Linked DNA regions of Arabidopsis thaliana. The protein of the gene in region 2 interacts with the protein of the main gene of each other region in a biochemical or structural test. Each region holds a gene or a part of one and is shown on either strand. Other genes may lie near its edges.

What was found. Proteins that work in one complex are often made in the same cells at the same time.
Region 1: the proteins of FIP37 (region 2) and FKBP12 form a complex in vitro, tested with the Arabidopsis thaliana proteins (one study listed by BioGRID).

Annotation. Positions count from the first base shown.
Region 1 is NC_003076.8:25,732,923-25,738,375, reverse strand, and holds FKBP12 (FK506-binding protein 12), read left to right. Parts: upstream 1-2,230; 5' UTR 2,231-2,385; coding exon 2,386-2,473; intron 2,474-2,872; coding exon 2,873-2,906; intron 2,907-3,087; coding exon 3,088-3,149; intron 3,150-3,262; coding exon 3,263-3,315; intron 3,316-3,464; coding exon 3,465-3,566; 3' UTR 3,567-3,786; downstream 3,787-5,453. Other genes in the region: EIP9 (Chaperone DnaJ-domain superfamily protein), read left to right, coding at 1-1,168. UniProt on the Arabidopsis thaliana protein: PPIases accelerate the folding of proteins. It catalyzes the cis-trans isomerization of proline imidic peptide bonds in oligopeptides. Mediates rapamycin inactivation of TOR protein kinase activity.
Region 2 is NC_003074.8:20,053,970-20,060,699, reverse strand, and holds FIP37 (FKBP12 interacting protein 37), read right to left. Parts: upstream 4,037-6,730; 5' UTR 3,853-4,036; coding exon 3,783-3,852; intron 3,699-3,782; coding exon 3,590-3,698; intron 3,507-3,589; coding exon 3,470-3,506; intron 3,371-3,469; coding exon 3,283-3,370; intron 3,184-3,282; coding exon 3,119-3,183; intron 3,029-3,118; coding exon 2,951-3,028; intron 2,831-2,950; coding exon 2,783-2,830; intron 2,406-2,782; coding exon 2,352-2,405; intron 2,078-2,351; coding exon 1,916-2,077; intron 1,771-1,915; coding exon 1,701-1,770; intron 1,618-1,700; coding exon 1,562-1,617; intron 1,460-1,561; coding exon 1,304-1,459; 3' UTR 1,117-1,303; downstream 1-1,116. Other genes in the region: CDKB1;1 (cyclin-dependent kinase B1;1), read right to left, coding at 27-96, 191-818; AT3G54160 (RNI-like superfamily protein), read right to left, coding at 5,673-5,984, 6,066-6,206, 6,381-6,730. UniProt on the Arabidopsis thaliana protein: Probable regulatory subunit of the N6-methyltransferase complex, a multiprotein complex that mediates N6-methyladenosine (m6A) methylation at the 5'-[AG]GAC-3' consensus sites of some mRNAs.

The DNA of each region.
Region 1 (5,453 bases), on a different chromosome or scaffold from region 2:
CTTGCCAGACTGGTACGCCGTTCTCCGACTCGGTCGTTTAGCTCAAAACCCTGAACACGTCGCGACTCAGTACCGTAGACTCGCTCTTCTCCTCAATCCTTCCGTTAATCGTCTCCCATTCGCCGATCGAGCTCTTAAAATCGTCTCCGATGCTTGGTTCGTTCTCTCTGATCCGTTCAAGAAATCATTCTACGACCGAGAATTGCAACTTAGTCAACTCGGTCAATCTGGATTCCATCCTCAAACCCAATCGCATCAAAATTTCCAGTGGGAACCTAGCAGTAGCACCGCCGTATATCCGCCACCGCGGTCTCAGAGCCAGGCTGGGACCTCGGCGGATCCTATGGCGACGAGCTTCTGGACCGCTTGCCCTTACTGCTTTGTACTCTTTGAGTACCCTAAGGCTTACGAAGAATGTACTTTGAAATGTCAAGAATGTAGAAGAGCGTTTCAAGCTGTGACGATACCAAAACCTCCGGTGGATAAGAAAGACGACGAAGACGTTTACTTTTGCTCATGGGCTTTGTTTCCATTGGGGTTTTCCGGTGAATTTCAAGCTCCAAGTTGGTCACCTATTTCACCTCTCTTTGCCTGTCCTCTGCAAAAGTTGGATGGTGAACCAAAGAAGAGAAAGGAACCGGGTCCTCCTAGGATTTACTATGACGATGATGACATTTATGTTGCGATTTCGGATGGAGATGACGCTGGTGATGATGGTGATTGGCAAGATGTGGTACAAGTGAATAAGAAGACGAATGTTGGGAAAGGGAAAGAAACATATGTGAGAAGTAACAAGAAACATGGAGTTGAAGAAGTCCAAAATGTAGAAAGTATCAGTAGTGCTAGCAATCACGCGGTTTCAATTGCTTCAAATGCTGCGGCTGTTGGGTCTTCAACTGGGGTTATGTCTAAACCAGGGAGTTATATTACTAGAAAACGAATGGGAACAGGCGCTAAGAACCTGGGGAGGTTGGATTTGAATGTGGAGTTTAGTAATGAAGTGGAAGAGCCTGGTGTGGCAGGTGGGGGAAATGCAGGCAATGGGATCGGAAGTAACAGGGAGGTAGATAATATGGAAGGGATTGGGTTCTTTGAGGGACTTGATGAATTCTTGAATAGTTTGCCCATACTTTCTGTTGTTGGAGATGATAAGATCAAGGCTACTTAGTGAAGTAAGGCTTTTTCCTCTCTTTGTTTAGGTTGCGGGTGTTTCGTTGTTGTAGGCCTTAGCTTTTATGTTTCCTGTTGATGTTTAACTGTAGTGGAAATACTAGCATTTTGATTCCTTGGAATCCCTGTAGTTGGAATCTGTTGATGTTATTTTGCTCAAAATTCGGATGCTTTCGTCGCTTTCTGGTATATAGTCTTCTGCTTCTGAGTTCTGAGTAAAGGCATTAAGATTATCTTTCTCGGGTTTATTAGACTATAAAACCTTACTAGCCAAATGCCTTATCTAAAGTAAAGTGAGTTACTTATCCTGCTCAGGTTTCATTTTGTTCCAAAAGAATTATGTTCCTCCAACTCAAAAGGCCATAGAGCAGCAAATTGCAAAACATAGGTGGTTTCCATGTCGTAATTGCTGCTTCTGTTCATTCACTAGATAACTTGTTGTGTTCTGGACTGACAAACGAAGAGGGAAAGTGACAACACACATTGCTTGCTTCATTCATCCTTGATGCTTTGAAAGGTAAGGAAAACAAGTAAGCTTTTTGTCAAGAATTTCTTGCTGGGGTCTAAGGTAAAGACCTAAACGGCTATGTAGAGTTTTTTTTGTGTAGTCATAGTAGCTAGGTATTCTCACTTACCTGTAATGAGTATTCTGCAGAATCTAGAAGATACAGAAGCTATCCAAGAGGTGATTCGTGCACGTTATCTGGCTTTTATACGCTCCAGTTGCGCAGTGAAGGTTCCATTGTCTGTTCATAAAAGCTTGTTTAAGACATTAATGATGGAACTGTTTAGCCGTTTAGGCTCTAAACATGATATCTACATAATCATTTTTTCTGTAATTGTGATGAAGAAGGTTCGTTGTATCTATATTGCTCTGTCTTCTTGACCATGTATCTTTCAAAAATGCGAAGGAAATTTTGATAGCTACAAGTCTGGGCTTGAATTTGATGAATCCGAAGTAAAAAATAGTTTTGGGCTAGATTCTGCTTCTTAATTCGGTCTGGTACAGTATTATATTATCCACCTTTGAGAAAGAATAAATAATGGGCCTAAATTTCATCGAATTGGGTTTTGGATTATTGTTAGGCCCAGATAGGGTTTAGATCAAACAGCATGATAATTGATAAATAACAAAATATATAGGCAAAAGCTACTCCGAGATTCGAAGCTGCAAAGAACGCGAAACAGTGAGAGAGACAGAGAGAAGATATAGAGATGGGTGTGGAGAAGCAAGTCATCAGACCCGGCAACGGTCCCAAACCCGCTCCGGGCCAAACCGTCACCGTCCATTGCACCGGATTCGGTAACTTTCCTCTGCATATTTATATCTTTGAAAATTCCATGATAGGCTAAATCGATCTATACAAATCTGCTTTGTTGAAGAGCTATTTGATGTGTTGTGGTAGTCGTACTCGCTATTTGTTTGTTTTCTATGATGTGAAATAGATTTAATTAGGGTTTATGTTCTATTCTGGGTGGTGATAGTAACACTTAGGTCATAATTAATCTGTAATTTTGCTGTTCTGCGAGATTATTTGTCTGCTCATCTGAAACTTCATACGAATAGATCTCTTGTTTAGATTTTCTATTTGTAGGTTTAATTAAAGAATCTTGTTTATCTTATAATCCAGTTTCTTGTGTGGAATTGAAATGAATTTGTTTGAGAATCTTATTTCTCTTGTGTGTGTGTTTTTTTTGGCAGGGAAAGATGGTGATCTATCCCAGAAGTTCTGGAGGTAAATAATTCTTTATTGTAAGCTTTGATTCTAGGATCAATAAAAAGATAATTACACTTACTTGTTCTTATCATCTACGCATACTCAGTTTATAAATCAATATGTTTCGTCTTAAAAGACTTATTTAATTTGGTATTTCCTTGAGCCTAACTGTGTTTTGTTCTTTGGTATATCATTATAGTACAAAGGACGAGGGACAAAAACCTTTCTCGTTCCAAATCGGTAAAGGTGCTGTGATCAAAGGTATAAACTTACTTACTCTGTTTTATGGTTAATCATATCATATCTCTGAACCTATTTGCCTCTTTTTTGGCGAGTGAACATCATATGATTCGATTGTTTAACTTTGCTTACAGGATGGGATGAAGGCGTTATCGGAATGCAAATTGGAGAGGTTGCTCGCTTGCGGGTATGTATACTCTGCTTCTCTCATCATGTTCCTCTTTGCCATCTATGCTTTTATGGCTCTCTGTTGAAGCACTTTTGTCTTTCATGATAGTTTGGGTGTTTCGTTATATGTTTAACATCTTTGGCTTGCGATCTTATCTGCTTCTGCAGTGCTCATCGGATTACGCATATGGCGCTGGTGGATTTCCGGCATGGGGGATCCAGCCAAACTCTGTTCTCGACTTTGAAATCGAAGTACTGAGCGTGCAGTAATGATCTCCCCAGCTCCTAAACTGTGGGTAGATTATTAAACAACCCTTTATGTTTATTGCTTCTGGGATCTTTATGCAACAAAACTTTGTGATGTCATTGCTCTTCTAAAACTCTTGGACAACGTTTTTATCTAAATAAAAGAAAAGACCCGTCTCGTGTTTCAGTTGGAATGTTTGTACTATATTATGATATTATTCCCGTTTTTTTATTTTGATTAAAATGGTTTTGTTTATTCAATCAAAATGCCAATAAAAAGCACAAAAGAATCAAACTAAAACTTCAATCTTAATGACATATCAGACCCAAAGCAAATGGTCTCAACCATAATGAAATTTGAATTGACCACTTCTAATTCAAAACACAGTATAAATTACTGTTCTTAATATCAAATCAAAGGAAGAAAAAAGACTAAAGTTAAAAACTTTTTCAGACAAGATACATAAGTTAACAAAAGAAAGGAAGAAAAAAGAGAGAGACGCGAGAGAAGTCGTGCGGGTAATTAAGCACTTAAAATTCCCGTGCAATTCTTTAATCATCACTTATGCTTCTTTTTTCTTTTTCTTTTCTCCATTTTCATTTTCATTCTTTTTACTTTTCTTTTTCTTTTCACCCACATTCCCCAATCACATAAGTCCTTTTATGAATAATAACTTTTAACATAAATGAAAGTCTACATAATATTTTTAAAAATAAAACAAAAGTATTGAGCTAATTTTGGCGTTGTATAAGCTAGATAGATGCTAAATTGTCAATTTAAATTAAACAATTAAAAAGAGTGGTTAGCTTTTATTCTTTTCCGTCACAATGGGTGTTTGAAACACACACAACACCGCACCTGAACAAATGTACTATTAAAATATAATTAAGGATGAAAAAAAGCTTGAGCACACTTTCACTAACTTAGCTTTCAATAAAATTAAAGAGGGATTATAACCTGAAATAGTATTTATTTAGAAAATAATTAAGGATATAATAAAGCTCGACCACACTTTCACTAACTTAGCTTTTAAAATAAATAAGAGAAAACGTATGAACTTTTACTTTAACGAATTAAGTATATATTAAAAAATTATATTGGTTAGAAAAATATTATTTAATGATAAAGTATAACCTGAAATTATGGACCGTGAGACTTTGTCATCATATATACCATAATTACGTATATACACGTTCGGCCCCCTTGTCCCATTTCTTTCAAGCAAAGCACAAATATAAACATTGCCACCGTTTTTAATTACTAGATTAATTTCCAAGTTACACATATTTTTCCTCTAAATAATTAAAAATTCAAATTGTACAACTTAAATTATGTTACCTTTTGCGTATCTTAGTTTTTTTCTTTTAAAAAAATATAGAATGAAAATTAATTTCGATATATAGAACAAACAAAAAACCGAAAAAATTGAGAATGTGAATTGGTAAAATAAAGTAATGAAAAGGGCAAAAGCGTCATAAAATCTTTTTATAAAGCCTTGTTACTCTTGTTGCCACTCACCTCTTTAGAAATATTTCGTAAAAAAAAATTCTCCGTTTAGACATTATTGTTCGTTGGTCACTTTCATCTCTCTTATCCCTTTGCTTTTCCATTGATTCAGCTCAAAAAAAAACAAAAAAGTCTCATCGTTTTCTCTGGATCTGACCGAAAGATCATTCCTTTCTAAGGTAATCAAAATCCAATTTTTCTCTCTTATAGTCTGTGTCACTGTTCTCTCTGTTTGTGTATCTGGAGACTGTGGTTAAAAACGGTTTGAGTCGTTTGTGAAATGGTAAAGTTCTGTAATTTATGTCTGAATCTAGCTTAGAACATTGTGATTTGTGTATATTCTGAGTTGTAATAGTAAAATGTAGCGTAATTTTGCTGGAATTGATGCTGTGAATACACCCACT
Region 2 (6,730 bases):
AGTAATGGAAGGTAAATTCAAAATACCTGAAGATATGAAGCAATTGCTGAAACTCAGAATCACCAGGGAAAAGAGCTTGCCTCCGAACCATCTCAGCTATACAAATTCAAAGATTGAAACAGCATAAATACAAAATCACATCGCAGAGAGACGAATTCAAAAACATAAAAGCATAATTGAGACTACTAACCAAAGATACAACCAACAGACCACATGTCAACACCAGTTGAATAATGAGTAGATCCAAGAAGAACTTCAGGAGCTCTATACCAAAGAGTAACAATCTCATGCGTATAAGACTTAAGAGGAACAGTAAAAGCACGACCAAGACCCAAATCAGCAATCTTAAGAAGCTCTTTATCTTTCACCAGAAGAAGATTCTGCGGTTTAAGATCACGGTGAAGCACACCATGACTATGACAATGCGCAACACCTTTACAAAGCTGAAACATCAACTTCTGAATCAAAAAAGGCTCAAGAGGCTTAGGATTAGGTCCTTTCCTATACGAATCGATGAATTTCTTAAGATCAGTATCGAGATACTCGAAAACGAGATAGAGATTGGATTTGGTAGATTGAGATTTGGTTGATGGTTGATGAACATGTTCGACGCAGAGTAATCGAACAACATAGATCGATGTTGATAACATCTGGAGAAGCGAGATCTCACGAAGAGCAGTTGGTGGAATACCTTCTTCGTCCATCTCGAGACGAGTTTTCTTCAGAGCAACAAGCTTACCAGTTCCTTTCTCCATCGCTTTGTAGACTTTCCCGTATGTTCCTTCTCCGACCTTCTCTAGCTTCTCGTACTTCTCCATTTCTGAGAGGTTTCGTAAAATTGAACTGTGTTGGTTTCTGGACTTTTGATTAACCCTATTATTTGATCAGATTAATGAAGATGATGGATTGTGAGAGAGAGAGAGAGAGATGCTTTCGCTAAGATACTTCCACGTCACTTCGTTTTTCCCGCTCCTTTGGATTTTGAATTCGTTCGTGACAACTGCAACAGATTAACCTAAAGTCGTGACCTCTGTGAATGTTTTTGGGGAAAACTAATTGGACTCACTTATTTTGGTCTAATCTGATATCTACTCAGATGATTTGCGTGAGTTGACGAGTTCAAATTCTTCACGAGTTATATCGGGAAGCCACATATCGATATCGAAACACCAATGGTGCGAATTAAAACATATTAATAGAAGATGAAGATTAGAACTTTCTGTTTCATGAAACAGATAACGAATGAAGAAATGTGATTTTGAACTTCAAAATGTACAAAACATTTTTTGAAAGCTACAAATTCCTATTCTCCACCAGCAATTTCTTCTTTTGCATCTTCATCAATTTCATCAACTTCATCTTTCTTGTCACCTACTAGCTCAGACACAATTTCCAGTCCTTTCTTTACTCTCTCTATCTCCTTCTCTTTCTCTTCCAGTTTCTCTTGCAATATTATCACCTGAGATTTATCAAAGTCACATATTTCCAACAAAACCATAATCATTCTTCCGTTTTAAGAAAAATCTTGAGGAATTAAGAGATAAGAGAAAAGGATCAACACCGTTTCATTTGATCTCTCAACATCATTAGTTAATTCCTCCATGTGTTTGTACAGTCCTGCATTCCACAAAAATCCTCAAATCCAAATTGCAAACTCTACAAAAATCTTTGCTATAACTTAATATCAACATATGACTTACCTTCAAATTGACTTCTAAGTTCCGCGTTTTGAGACTTCTGCATTGCAAGCTTTATTGCTAGTTCATGAATCTGCCATTCCACATGAACATAGGCAAGCATCAATTTCTTTACCCTTTTCAGGGAATCATGTTTTACAAAGGTTGAAGAAGACTACTGCTTTACTATATAATTCATATAATTCCAGATTGAAGACTGAGAGTAGAACAAACTATACCTTTCCTTCGGCAGCTTGGTGCCCAATCTCCTCATTTTCCTCTTGCAGGGTTCTGCACTTTGCCATAAGCATCTTTCCATTCTTGCTTTGAGGAGTAAAAGTAACTGCTGCAATGTTGTCCTGGAGTTCCTTGATCTTCTTGTCTTTTTCCTCTACTAGATTCTGCATAATAGAAACATGGAATCAAACTTCATCTACTCTTTACTTAACTGCAACAAATGTACATTAACAAAAAGTTGGGAATGTTCGTCCTCAACTGTATCTACTACGACAGTGTCAGCTATCAGTTATTAAGGAATTATTCTTTCAGGCCATTCATAACGAAAGCGGAATTTTGTTCCGTAGATACAGTTTGGATTATCTAAGGATATATTACGACAAATACATCCTTATGAAAAAGTAGTCTAAGGGTAAATAGAAACGAGTAGGTGCAGACCTTCAGACGTGAAAATTCTTCATGAATTGCTGGATCCAGTAACAACCTCCTCGCCTACAAAGGTAAACAAAGAATAAATAATCTACACTGCTATCTGATCATGACAAGCTGCTAAATGACCATTGCAATTCAAAATTTATAGCCATTTCTTCTATTCAGACTTGTTAATAATTCAGATGCCAGGTAAAGGTTTACAAGAAACATGCGCTTATCATCGTATTCAGACTGAAATCTAAAAGGCAAGGAAAAGGTTTCCCTCTACATGCATCAAGGTCGAGGATGACCGTCATAAAAGGTACACTACGGCATAAAAAGCGGACTATGCCTAGAAAAGTCCAAGTTACTTCAACAGCTAACTTTTTTCACGATTTGTATTGTTGGCACAATTGTATAAATTATTCCAGAATCAAAACATTGGGAGAACTATATACCTGCATTGACGCTGGCTTGAGTTGAGATTTCAAATCGCGAACAGCTGACTAGAAATACAAAATACAAGACTGTGTTTAGCGACATCTATTCTATGTAATGGTCAAGAAAACATGTGATAGCATCAGTCAGGAATCAAAGTGGTAGGCAATGAGTTTCTCGAGAATTACCTTCAATTCTGCCATTTCTTGTTCCCGTTTCGCATATTGTACAATGCATGACGCTTCTTTTCTCTTTGCGATTTCTAACTGAAAAGAGAGAAACAACAACCAAACCTTATTTGAAAATCAAGACCTTCATATTGATATATACACACAAGTTATTACTCAAGTACAAACCTGTTCTTTCAAAGATTTCTCAGAAGATTTTAGGTTTTGAATATAATCAATCAAAAATCTTGGTTCTGGAAAAAAAAAAGTACCAAACAGAATCATATTGAATGCTCAAGAATTAACATCGCATATACAAATGTACAAAACAAAATTGAGAAAGAGAGGTTAACCAGGAGATTTTCCAGCGGGAACAAAGGACTCATTCTGAAACGCTGACTTCCACTTCTGAATCTCTGTTTTTGCTGACTCGAGCTCATTCTAACCAAAACGATATAGTTAGATGCAAAAGCGAAGCAACCATAAACAGCAATGGTATAGAATTCAAACAGATTAGGGATGAACAGTAACAATGCTTACTTGACATGAAGCAAGATCATCTTTACAATTCTTAAGACTGCCAAAGAGAAAAAGCAAAAGAAAGTTAGAATTATACATCAAAGATTTTTCTCATACATGAAGAAAGGATTGGATAATAACCTTCCTCGGAGAGACAAAATCATCCCAGTTCTAACACCAGGCGCTACCGTTGTTGATCCGAAAATATCATCTTCATCGTCTTCAAGATCACCGAAGCTTCTTCTATTACCTGAATGATACAGATGAGAAATTAATGTCCAATCCAACCTTAAACAAAAACCATGAATTAAGAGAAATCCATTAATGTCGGGACCTGAAGCCCTGGTGGCATTAGCAGCGGAATCGTCTCCTCCAAAATCGTCGTCTTGTGATGAAAACTCCATTGTAGCAAGTTTCGTAGAGGTTTCTGCGGCGATTGTCGCTGGTGGAGTGACGAAGTGTGACGAGCAATTGAGAATTTAGGGTTTTAGATTTGGGGGAAGACGAGAACGTGGTCAATCGGTCATGGATCCGTTTTTTTACTAATGGTATAACAGGTGTTCAGGAGACAATCGTAAATAGTAAATTGAAGATTTAACTAGTATTAAAATGGCATATTAATATTATTTAAAATTTTAAAAATATTTATTCAAAATCGTTCGCCATATTATTCTGTTCCAAAATATATCATGTTCTGTAATTTCTTATTCTAATTCGTAATTTGTTTTCTAAAAATAGTAATTTTTAAATTTTAATGGCTATTTATTATGGATAAAAGTTTACAAATTATATTATTTTTTGAAATATTTATATTTTATAATTTATAATTGTTATTAAGTAACATTATAGTACGGAACATTTTTTTTTGTTTTATACAATATTTTCTATTCAAACTGATTTGATATGTTTAATATTGGTGGTGTTAAAAATAATAAATTAAGGATTTAATCTGTATTAAAACAGTGAATTAATGATATATTACTTTTTTATTAATGTTGATTTAAAAACCCGTTTCGTTAAATTCGTCTAGCCAAAAAACCTATTTATTTTATTAATGTTGAACTTATTTATGATATGATTTTAAATCATTGTTTAATTTTAGCTGATGTGAAACGGTGAACCGTGAACCCACACATTTTTCGTCCATTAGATAACATATGTCCATTTTTAAAATTTCGAATCACAATATATGTAGGATAAAAACTTGAGATTTATTTTTAATTTTATATATTGATTTAAAACAGTTAAAAAATTCAAACAAAGATGAAAGAAGATTTATAGTTTTAAATGTTAACCAAATCTTCTAATTATTAATATTGTTTAATCTGGAAATATCCGTTGTAAAAGTTTTTAAAACAGGTCTAGAATCGAGTTTTATTTGAACCGACCCAACTAAGACTCAATGAACAAAATTATTAAAATGGGCGGATACCAAATTGATCTAAATGCATCCCGACAAAAAATTTTGCAAAAATACTATGTAGATTACTTATTTGACTAAAATACAAATAAAATCCCTTTTTTGTTAGCAATTTCATTATTTACTAGGTGAAAAAAAAGAGATTCAACTATATTTCTCTGCTCATTATCTGTCTATGGCTACGTATTTGTGTTTCTCTTCTCATTATCTGACTATGGCTACGTTTATGTGTGATGGTTTCGGGTTTTGTAACAATTGAGTGTCAATGCTTAATGACTTCGTGTGTATTGTATTTGTATCTCTGGACACAATCTATATAACAACTTTAGTCTCTTGTAGCCATAATCATCTAGTTCTTGTGTATGTTGGTTTATGATGTGTTTCTTTTTTAAATCAAGCTTTGTTCTAGTTCTCTGCGCATTGCATATACTGAGATATTTTTAGCTCGTTGATAAAACATATAAACTACAATGTTACTAGAGCCGAAACAAACAACATCAGTCAAATCATATCCCATTTACCAAATTGTCAAATAGACTGTGTAAACTGTAAAGTAACAATAACATACAGCACAAATGAGTCATAGTAGACCTAACGTAGCTGATAGCTAATAGCTATAGCATCTCTCTTACAAACTCAAGTGAATTAGGCACGAAGAAACGACACAACAAGGAGCCAAAGATGACAAAAATGTCAAGCTGTTATATACAGAAATTGCATGGATAAGAAAGACACTAAACAAACCAGCTCTCATGTCAACAACAAACCGGAAGCTCATTTGTTTCTCTTATCAGATATGGAAGTTCATGCTGAGGCAAAACAAACTGGAAACTTGACCTCGACTTTGCATTCAGACGAAGCTCTTTCGAACATTAGGAGATCCAACATGATCTGCAGCTTTTTGTCATCTCCTTTTACCTGACCATGAATTTCCAACAGCTCAAGACTCGGCAATTTCTCCAAGATATGCTTTATTTGCACCATCTCTCCGATATCTCCCTTGAACTGGGTTATCTTTAGAACCTCAATATGGCAGGACGATAAGAAAGAATACACCTCCAAACAATCGCAAACAGTGTTCTCATCCCCATAGTGATTAGTAGTATAATGCAAAGCCTAGAAAAGACAGGAATTTTGAGATTGAAGATTTTGACTCTTTAGTTTGTCCAATATACTTTTGGGGGTCTTAGGTCATACCTGAATGGTGAGAGTCTTTAGATTTGGAGATTTCTCAAGCAGAATTGGTAGAACATTCCAACAGAAATCTACTTCAGTGCTAAGTGATAAATGAAACAGGTTTTCAAACACTGGTACTGCTTCTTCGAAGAAACAAAACACCTGAAACAGAATTAAAAACAACTAAGTCAGTCATTACTTGAGCAAACATTCTAATCACTAGCAAGATTGATATGATCTTAGTATCTCAATGGTTCCTAGATTTAAATTTCCTCATGCTCTACTAGTTGTTAAGCTACAGTAACATATTAAAGAGAAACAATAGCGATCACTTACCTGCATCGTGTCAACAACGCCTAAGCTCAGAATCTGAACATTTTCTAAGCCCTTAATCAGATTCTTAACATCGTAGGTATCGCCAACCATAAAAAGAGGAAGTTCTAGCTTAGCTTCAACAAGGGACTTGAGATCAACAACTGGATACCCATCTCGGAGAACATCAAAGTATTCGAAGTATTCAAGACTCGGAGTATCAAAACTAATTGACTCATAACTAGAGCCATCAAGATCTTCCCAGTCTTCACGCCGAATAGTAAGTTTCTTAAGGATCTTACTAGACACAATGCGAGACCATTCCCAATCTTCACGGTTGTTCCTATATATCACTAAATCCTCTAGCACAGGGC